2 linked regions of the Kluyveromyces lactis genome follow. The protein of the gene in region 1 binds, or shares a complex with, the protein of each later gene. Links are inferred from orthologs where the notes say so. Each region holds a gene or a part of one and is shown in the gene's direction. Other genes may lie near its edges.

Evidence for each region. The genes of interacting proteins can lie anywhere in the genome.
Region 2: NUP116 (region 1) and GLE1 share a complex: the UniProt entries of both Saccharomyces cerevisiae proteins name them as parts of the nuclear pore complex. The link is inferred for Kluyveromyces lactis from reciprocal best matches to the Saccharomyces cerevisiae genes NUP116 and GLE1.

The regions. Positions count from the first base shown.
Region 1 is NC_006042.1:2,465,765-2,470,046, forward strand, and holds the start of NUP116 (FG-nucleoporin NUP116), read left to right. Parts: upstream 1-1,482; coding exon 1,483-4,282. Other genes in the region: KLLA0_F26686g (uncharacterized protein), read left to right, coding at 487-726. UniProt on the Saccharomyces cerevisiae protein: Functions as a component of the nuclear pore complex (NPC).
Region 2 is NC_006039.1:1,324,095-1,329,834, reverse strand, and holds GLE1 (nucleoporin GLE1), read left to right. Parts: upstream 1-2,349; coding exon 2,350-3,984; downstream 3,985-5,740. Other genes in the region: SEC26 (coatomer subunit beta), read left to right, coding at 1-823; MRPL7 (mitochondrial 54S ribosomal protein uL5m), read right to left, coding at 1,040-1,909; FMN1 (riboflavin kinase), read left to right, coding at 4,364-4,921; YCX1 (Ycx1p), read left to right, coding at 5,418-5,740. UniProt on the Saccharomyces cerevisiae protein: Functions as a component of the nuclear pore complex (NPC).

The DNA.
Region 1 (4,282 bases):
GTTTTCTTGGGGGCATTCATTAGGCGCATGTCACATGCTCTGTTGAGGAATGAGTGGAAAGCCACACTTTTTATTGCGGTACTTTCACTTAGGCTGATGAAAAGATCGGTGTTTGAAGTTCCTGCTGAGAGGTTATTGTGAAAGTGTCAAATGATAACGCACATTAACGGGCTGCCTTTTGATTCCTTTGCCCACAGAAGTGGTCCATTTTGTTTCAGAGATTTAACCACAATTTGTTAGTGTGTTATTGTTATCTTGTTGTAGTATATTTTATGGAGGTTATATATATATAAGGAATAACCTTTCAGTTGTTGACAAGGCCTATGTAATAGATTCGAGGTTGTCTGTATCTTGTATTGATAAGTTAAAAAGTGTAAGAAAGACGTCTCATAATAAGGAGTAACACAGGATACCGACCTCCGAATAGGCTTAACAAGCGCCTACTACAATATACCCATTAGCGTCCCCGTTTGACAATATTCAACAATGTTCACAGACAATTTTGGAAAAGCCAAAGATACGCAGCAGGTTTCCCAGGTGATAGTACAATGCTTCAAAAGTTTAAATTCAGTTCCCAGATCGACTCCAGACCTAGAGCAAGACTATTGTGATTCTGATGAAGAGGAAGATTTGATCGTGGATTTAACGACAGGGTCGTTAAAGCCCAGGAATTTGAAGAATTATCTACTTATGAATGAGGTAATGAATGGCCTAGAGAGCCTATGACGCTATGGTATTAAAGCCAATAAGGGGGTTTCACATCTACTTTATTGTGTCTACCGAAGATTTGCATACCAGAGAGATGCATCTTTTAATGCCTTTACTGCCTGGCTTTATCTCTCATTTTATTTTCATTTCTTTCGACTATATAGAACATATATACTTTTTGGGTAATTTAACAGACGGAATTCATTATATATAACATATTGGAATTAAGTGTTTCAAACAGGGAGCCAACTCAGAATTGCATTAGCAGCTGTTCCCTTGTGCTCAAGTAATTACTGCTACATCACAATCCCCCAAAACTACGTATCACTACGTACGCTATGTCACTTAATACGATTTTAGGTCATCCCTCACCTCTGAAAATTTCTTTATCCTTGAAGTAAACAACTAATTGATGATAAAGAACTAACGTTTTCTAAGTTGATGCAAGCAATGTTTCGGCTTATATGATTTGTCGTATTTGTCTTTCAGTCATACTATCAGCAACTGAGACCAATAAAAGTATTCATACAGTGCGTAAAGTGGGAAATTTTTTTATAGATCGTTAATTGATTAGTGTGTTTCTTCTTTCACAATCAGAGAACAAGGACACTCACTCATCTTTAAATTATTTCTCAGAAAAATACCATTGAACCAAAACGCTACGACTTTGGTATTATCTACTTAGAGATTACTTGTGTCATTGAAGGACATATTATTTTATTCCTAGTCAGCTTTTTCATCAATTGTCACCTCACTTGATTTCCTGACCCACTGATGTTTGGTGCTTCTCGACCGGCATTTGGACAGACGAGTACTTCTCCTTTTGGCCAACAAACTCAGTCAACAACCAATGCGTTCGGTCAACAGCATAGTGGAACCACAAACAATCTGTTTGGATCCAGCTCTGCCAACAACGCGCAATCAGGGTTTGGTGGGTTTGGTACCGGCGGCGCTAATACAAACCCTACGCAAACTATAAATTCCCCATTCGGTATGTCACAACAGCAAAATACAACTACTTCTCCGTTTGGCGGGGCAGCAGCAGGAGCAGCAGCAGGTAATTCATTGTCGAACCCACCATCCCTGTTTGGTGGTAGCCAATCTAGTGGTACAGCGACAGGCGTTCTCTCTTCTGGACCTCCTTCTGGCACTGGAATCAAGCCATTCCAACCTTATACGGAAAAGGATGTGTCAACTGGATATCCATCGGTGTTTCAATCTATTACTTGTATGCCTGAATATAGCCTTTATTCGTTTGAAGAGTTGAGGTTCCAAGATTATCAACAAAATAGGAAATTTAGCACCACTGCTGGAGGTCCGACAGCTTCTGCTATTGCTTCGCCATTCGGTCAACAACAGACAAATGGTACTAACAACACTTTTGGTTTAGGAAATAAAAATACCATCAGTGCAGGTGGCGCAACTCCCTTTGGTCAACAGCCTGCAAATTCACCTTTTGGCCAGCAACAGCCTGTAAATGCATTTTCACAACCTAATAACACTCCCTTTGGCCAACCACAGCAGCAACAGCAAACTGGCATGTTTGGACAACAGCAGAATAATTCTCCATTCGGGCAAAATACTGCTTCAAGTTCTTCTCCATTCGGTTTAAACAAACCGGCTACCTCTGGAGGTCTGTTTGGACAAAACACCACCAATAATAATTCCGCATTTGGTCAAGCCAACAACTCATTATTTGGTCAACAAAACCAACAGCAAAACCCAGGTAACGCATTTGGTCAAAATACTGGTTCAAACACCTTTGGGAGCACTTTCGGCCAAACAAACACCAACAATCAACCGGGTGGTTTGTTTGGACAAAATAACACCACAGCGGCCAATACTGGTGGACTTTTTGGTCAACAAAGTAACGCCAATAACGCATTTGGTCAGAATAATAACACCTCAGGTGGATTATTTGGATCAAAACCAGGTGGAACTACAGGTGGCGGTTTATTCGGTCAGCAAGCACAGAACGGACCCTCTCCTTTCGGTCAACAAAATGCTGCTAATTCTACTCCATTCGGTCAGGTAAACAATACTCAGGCGGGTGGATTGTTTGGACAAAACAACACCAATACTGGCGGAGGTTTATTTGGACAGCAACAACCATCTAACACAAACAGTACAGGATTATTCGGACAACAAAGTAACGCAGCTAGCACTGGCGGTCCTTTCGGACAACAAAATAGCAACTCCATGAATCAACAGGGCGGAGGATTATTTGGTGCGAAGCCAACTACCGGTGGCCTGTTTGGATCAAACAACCAAAGTCAACAAGGTTCAACTGGGTTATTCGGAGCTCAAAATAAAACTGTAATGGGTGGTAGTTCCGCGCTGTTTGGTCAAAATAATCAGCAACAACAATCTGGCGGATTGTTCGGACAAAGTAATCAACCGTCTGCAACGGGGGGGTTATTTGGTAATCAGAACCAACAAACACAGCAACCTAACACCGGTGGTTTATTTGGTCAGCAGAACAACAGTATGGCAAACAACACCGGAGGATTGTTTGGTGCAAAACCAACAGGAACTACTGGTGGATTATTTGGCCAAAGTAGTCAGCAGCAGAATACATCTAGCGGATTGTTTGGTCAAAATAACAACCAGAACAACACAGCAACGGGGGGTCTATTTGGTCAAAACAACCAGCAACAAGGTCAATCATCGGGTAGTCTCTTTGGTGCCAAACCTTCCGGCACTAACGCTTTAGGAGCTACCAACGGCGGGTTATTCGGAGGCAACACACAACAGCAGAATACGGCTACTGGTGGTCTATTTGGTGCCAAACCAGCTGATAGTGCGTCAACATCTGGTGGCCTTTTCGGCACTAAACCAACAGGTGGTTTGAGTAGTACCACTGGAGGTGGATTATTCGGTGGAAAACCTGCCGGAACTGCACCTTTTGGCGCAACAAACACGAACAATGCCTCATCAATTGGTGGCGGAAGTTTATTTTCTGCGAATAAGCCAGCAAATACTGGTTCGACAGGATTATTTGGATCACAAAACAACACTTCTGGTAATGCAAATACAGGTGGTTTATTCTCTTCATCTTCCTTGCAACAAAACCAACAAATGCAAAACCAGCAGCAAGCAGCACAAGCGAACTCCAATCCATATGGTACGGATGAGCTATTCTCCCGTGTTATCTCTATTCCTAATTCCATTACTCAACCAACTAAGCCTAGTGCCACAATGGTTTCTGCAGACTTGAAGAAAAAGAACTCCCTCTCCGCAGCATACAAGCTGCTTCCAAAACCCTTGTTTGACTCTAAAAAGTCGGAACCGAACTCCAGAAAGGTTAAAATTCATCTAAAACTATCAAAACCCAAGGAGGAAGACACTAGTTCGACTGCTCTAACAAGAAAGCCTATGGATTCTTCAATTTTCACTGCATCTACTGATGAGGCTATTTTAACTACCGGAGAACTCCTCTTTAATCCAGACAAAAAGTCTTTCAAAAACCTTATCATCAATCGCCAAAAGATGGAAGAAGATGATACCTCATCTGGTGAATTGAAATTCATAATCTTCAATACTGACGACGGACCACAAAAGAAAATGGAACAGA
Region 2 (5,740 bases), on another chromosome or scaffold:
CGTCGATTCAATCGAAGAAGATATAAAATTGGCTACCACCGGTACTGTATCATATTCCAAACTACAAGCTAATTCTATCACTTCAAAATTGAAGAAGATCGTCCCATTGACTGGTTTCAGCGATCCTGTTTATGCCGAGTGTTATATCACTAATCACCAATTCGATGTTGTGTTAGATGTTCTATTAGTGAACCAAACCAAGGATACTTTGAAAAACCTACATGTTCAATTCGCTACTCTTGGTGACTTAAAAATTATTGACCACCCACCTAGCACCAACGTTATTCCACATGGGTTCCACAAAATTACGATAACAGCAAAGGTGTCCTCAGCAGATACTGGTGTTATTTTCGGTAACATTATATATGATGGTGGTCACGGTCAAGATTCTCGTTATGTCATCTTGAATGACGTTCATATCGACACAATGGATTATGTGAAACCAGCAATCTGCGATGATAACAGTTTCCGTAAGATGTGGAATGCGTTTGAATGGGAAAATAAACTTCGTATCAAATCCAAATTACCATCTTTACGCGGTTATTTAGAGAAGTTGGTGGAAGTTACACATATGAAGGTTCTAACCCCTGAAGAGGCACTCGGCGACAATGATTCCAGATTCCTAAGTTGTAACTTATATTCTAGATCTACATTTGGCGAGGACGCTTTGGCTAACCTGTGCATAGAGAAGGATCCAATCACACAAGAAATTGTTGGTGAAATCCGTATTCGTTCAAAGACCCAAGGGTTAGCTTTAACCAATGGTGACAATATTACCAGAATGGGAAGAACTATGAATATCGTTAGTGTTGATCGTGTTTGAGGTTAATAATTTGAAGACTTTGATCTCACCAATTACCTGTAATGCAATATATATGCCACTTTTTACTTATTGAAATCTATTACATATAAGTGTACATTAAGAGACGTCGACATTTGTATAAAGGTAGTCATATACATATAATGCTGATAATTTTTTTATCCTATTAGTGAGTGTTATTTACAGGACGAAAGACAGGATAAAAACTACTTGGGAGCATTAATTGATCTTTTCCGAACCGTTGAAAGGAAAACCGAATCCACTGACCAAAGTTCTAGCCTGTACGTCAGTTTGGGCAGTTGTGTTGATGTTGATGTGCATACCAAAAGTTACTGGCCAAAGATCTTGATTAGCATCAATCTCTGGGAAAAATCTGACTTCATCGCTGGTCATACCAAATGATAACCCACCAAATCTGTTACCTGACTTGTTGGAGATACCTTTGTATTCTCTGATTCTTGGTAGTACAATTTCAGTCAAAGTGGATAAGAACTGAGACATTGGACGACCTTTCAATGTAATGACAGCACCCATTTGGGTACCTCTTCTGACCTTCCAGGCCGGAACATCATTCCTAGAGAACAAAGCCTTTGGTTTACACCCGGTAATTTGTTGCAATTGTAATGCTGCTGAAATTGGTAGATATTGGTTCTCTTTTGCATCTCTGACGTAACAGTTAATAACAACGGACTCGATGTCTGGAATGTTCTTCCACGTTACTGGATGAATATCTGGCAATTGAGCACTTGAGCCCTTAGGTTTTCTGGGTTCTCTGTTAATGTGATATGGAGAAGAACCGTCCCATTCTCTTTGCTTCAACCCGAGCTTCGTTTGGCTTTTGTGGGAATAATTTATCAATAATAAATCGCTTTGTAAAGTATTATAATAATGCTCACGAACACGGTCTTGATGTGTAACAACAGGCTTGAATGCTGGAGATCTAATATCGTTTTTACTATATTTCAATTCAGGAAACCTTGGGGATAGCTTGCTCTTGTCGATCTTAACCAAATGATGCACTGGCTTAACCAAAGCACAAGCAGCTTTGGAGACCTTTGAACTACTGTGGAAACCACGTACCACTTGCATTATCACTTGGTATCTTCTCACAGATGCGAACGAATGAATGTATAAACCTACGAATGGGAAGGAATACTGCTTTAAATCGAGTGAAACTGATCAAATCTCTATCATTATCTTACAGCTTTAGCTCGAAAGGTCGAAAAATTTTTAAAACTTTCAAGTACAGAGAATTCAATATACGTCACGTGACAAGAATCAACAAAAAGTGAAATTTGATTAAAAACCAGGTAGAGCTCAGTTGATGATTATAGAGAGTGTTGACCTTTCAGCCCTTGTGTTGATGCATTGCAGCCGTTTTTTTTTGATCCCGTACTTAAAGACACGTAGCTGGATTCTCCATTTAGGTAATAACAGTCGAACTTAACCCCGAATCGTTTACTTGAATTGAGCTTTTTACCGATTTGATAAAGTAAAGAAAGCGATTGACACATATCAGGACAATTGAGATGAGGTTCTCATTTGACGAATTGTACGAGAATGCTGAACGGAAACAGAGTCAGAATACCAGCAGCAGTGATTCTGACTATGAATTAGACGGGGAGTTTACGTATATTGGCGATCCATCTGATGGGATCCAGTTAAAACTACCGAAATTATACCATTCTTCAAAGAATGACGGCCAAGGTGAAGAGCAAGGGTTTAGTTCAGGAGATACAATTTCTTTAGAGGATGTGGTAGAACCAGAAATAGTTTCAATGCTTTCCAACTTAAATATCACTCTTGAAAGGAATGCACTACCGCATCTTACAACGAGAGGTCACGAGAATAAAGCTTTAGGCCCTGTTCTTATTGACGAAGCAGAACTTTATTACCAAGAGAAGAAGGATTTGATTGACGAGGTGGAACAACACACCTTTCCTATGCAAGACCAGGTGCTTGAATCTGTGTGGAATGAGGAAATTGATTCAATTGAAAAGGTGAATCAACGTTTAATTAAAAGCATAAAGGATAAAAAGAAGAGGGAAGAGGAAGCACGTATCCAGAAAGAATGCGAAGCGGAGAAGCGCAGACAAGAAGAATTGAAGCATAAAAAGGAGATGGAAAAGAAGTTGAAGGAGGAAGAGAAACGGAAGATTCAAGAAATGGCAGAAAAGGAGAAGAAAGCTGAAGAAGCGAAGAGAGTAGAAGCCCTGAAAAAGAAGCAAGAACAAGAACAACTGGAGAGGAATAAACTTAAACAGTCCAAAGAATCTACAAATTTCAAGTTAATCGAAGAAACTTTTACTAAATACAAAACCATGATTCAGACAATTAAAACAGAAATAATTGAACCGGTGAAGGCGGATCCCACCTTGAAGAAAACTTTAGCACAACATAAGAGGAAAATTAATCCAAAATTCGGACAATTAACCAACAGTACTGCACAATTGAATGCAATCACCAATGAACTTACCGAACTGGTACTTCAAACGAAGGCTAACCAATTAGCCTATAAATGGATTCTAAACTTTATAGCTAAGGCGATTGTTTCCCAAGCAGAATCTGAGGCCAGAGTGAAACCTGAAAGCGCTTTGCCTTTAGGAACACTTGCGCTAAGTCTTCTTGCATCATACCCGGAACTCAAAGAGTTCTTACTGGCGAGACTCATCAAGAAATGTCCGTTTGTTATCGGTTACACGTGCAGCATAGACACAGTCGAAGGAAGAACCAGAATGGGATGGAAACGTCAAAGTGACAACAGATGGGAAGAAGATATTTCATATGATGAAAGGATGGGTGGTATGATTACCTTGTTTGCTGTCATCACAAGATTACCTCTACCGCAAACGTACATTCAGAAACTTGTGCATCCTTTCCCAATCTCTTGGTCATGGAGAATGCTAGCTAGAATCGGCAACACTCCAAAGGATCTACTTACAAATACACACTTCGTCGTTCTTGCCTACTGGTGGGAGGCTGCGGCAGCACAATTGCTCCAAGCATACAACGTTCAGGCAACAAAACTACTTGAAGTTATTTCGATTGATTTAACTGCACTTGTTGCTGACAAAAAATTCGTTGGTGCAGCAAGACTCCGCATTATTAACGAGGAATGGCATAATACAAATCAAATATCATCATTCCCAGATATGGCAGCATAACGGCTAGAGTTTTCTCTAGTAAAATATATATATATATATATATGTATGTATACCTTCAGATCTTCGTTTTCATCATGTGTTCAGGGCATAGTATATGCCTTATGTTCTCATAAAACTTTAATAATGAGGATTCAAATATTTCCAGAGAGAGAGCGTACCTCATTGCCTAGAAATACTCCGCAACTGTTGAACAAACCATGAACCCATTTTCACGTGCCCATTTACCCTTTTCTTTCTTATTCTTACTTGCAACAGTCTTTATACTCAAAGAGTTCGAACCTTTAAAAACGTAGTTTGAATCTTGTGAATACTTCCATGTGGTTATCATACAAACGAATAACGATCGGATCATCAAAAACTCGCAGTAAGACCTAGAGCAATGACAAGGCATTGTGACGTTTCGATACCGGATTCACCTGAACCTCCTTTTCCAATTACCACATCGTTCGTCGATGTAATAGCTGGTTTCGGTCGTGGATCAGCAGAGTTAGGAATTCCTACAGCGAACGTGCCCATCGATGATTTACCAAAAATCGTGGAGCAACTAGACACAGGAGTTTATTTTGGATGGTGTAAGGTAAGGATGGCAAAGGACCGTGACACCAAGGTGGAACAAAGACCCGATGGCAGAGAGGTCCAATACAATAACGGTACCTTACTAAATGACGAAGATTTAGCAGTTCTTCCAGTGGTACTTTCTGTTGGCTGGAACCCATTCTACCAGAACAAAAACAAGACGGTAGAACTACACATAATCCACAAGTTTTCTGATAATTTCTACGGTGCCCAAATCAAATTCAACTTCTTAGGGTATATAAGGCCCGAGTTAGACTACACCACAAAGGACGCATTGATTGCAGATATCCATACCGACATTGAAATTGCAAAAGAGAAACTACAATTACCTGGATACCGGAAACTTAAGGATACTTTATAAAAGTGAAGTTTGAGAATAGAACAGCTGATCCTCCAGCTTATACGATGACTAACTCAGTTCCGCCCGGAAGATAACTGAGGCAGTTGATAATATCTTCTTTTCCAGTTGATTTCAAGAATTGTGCACATGTATTTATACCATTATTTAATAGAACATTTCATAGAAGAAAATCATTGCTAAATGGAAAAGAGTTCAAGGCAAGAATTAAAGAACAGGCGAGGTCAAAAGACTCACTGACAAAGGCACAACTGACATTTAACTGACCTGAGTACGTTCATCTGTTTGCGTATATCTCACTTTTTTGGATACTCTTTTTCGCCAAGTTGAATAGCCGCATCGCCCATTTTTGGTATATTGCTCCCCAAAAGGTCTTGGTTCTTCCCTTTAACCATTATTCAATCCAACCATAGCCGAGCCACACATACAGAGAAGTCTGTAGTTATTTGGACAGGGCTCAGTGGCTGAGAGAAAACACTCCCTCTAAGGTTCGAAAAGAATGCCTTTGTATCGAAGGAAACTATTTGTACTGACTTTTTACTTGGGATTGACAGTGATTGTAGGATTCGCACAATTGTCAGACGAAGTTTTCAGGTATGTCTTTTCGCCATTAAGTTTGTTGACATGCTTCATAGCACTAGGGATTATCACTTCAGACTACTTGACGCCAAATTTGACGGTTATATCTCAGGAGTTGTTGTTCATATCTGACAGGATTTCTGGGATGACTCTTCTAGCCTTGGGAAATGCTATACCTGATATCACTAGTACATACAAGGCCATGAAAAGGGGCACAACCACACTTGCGATTGGTGAGTCTTT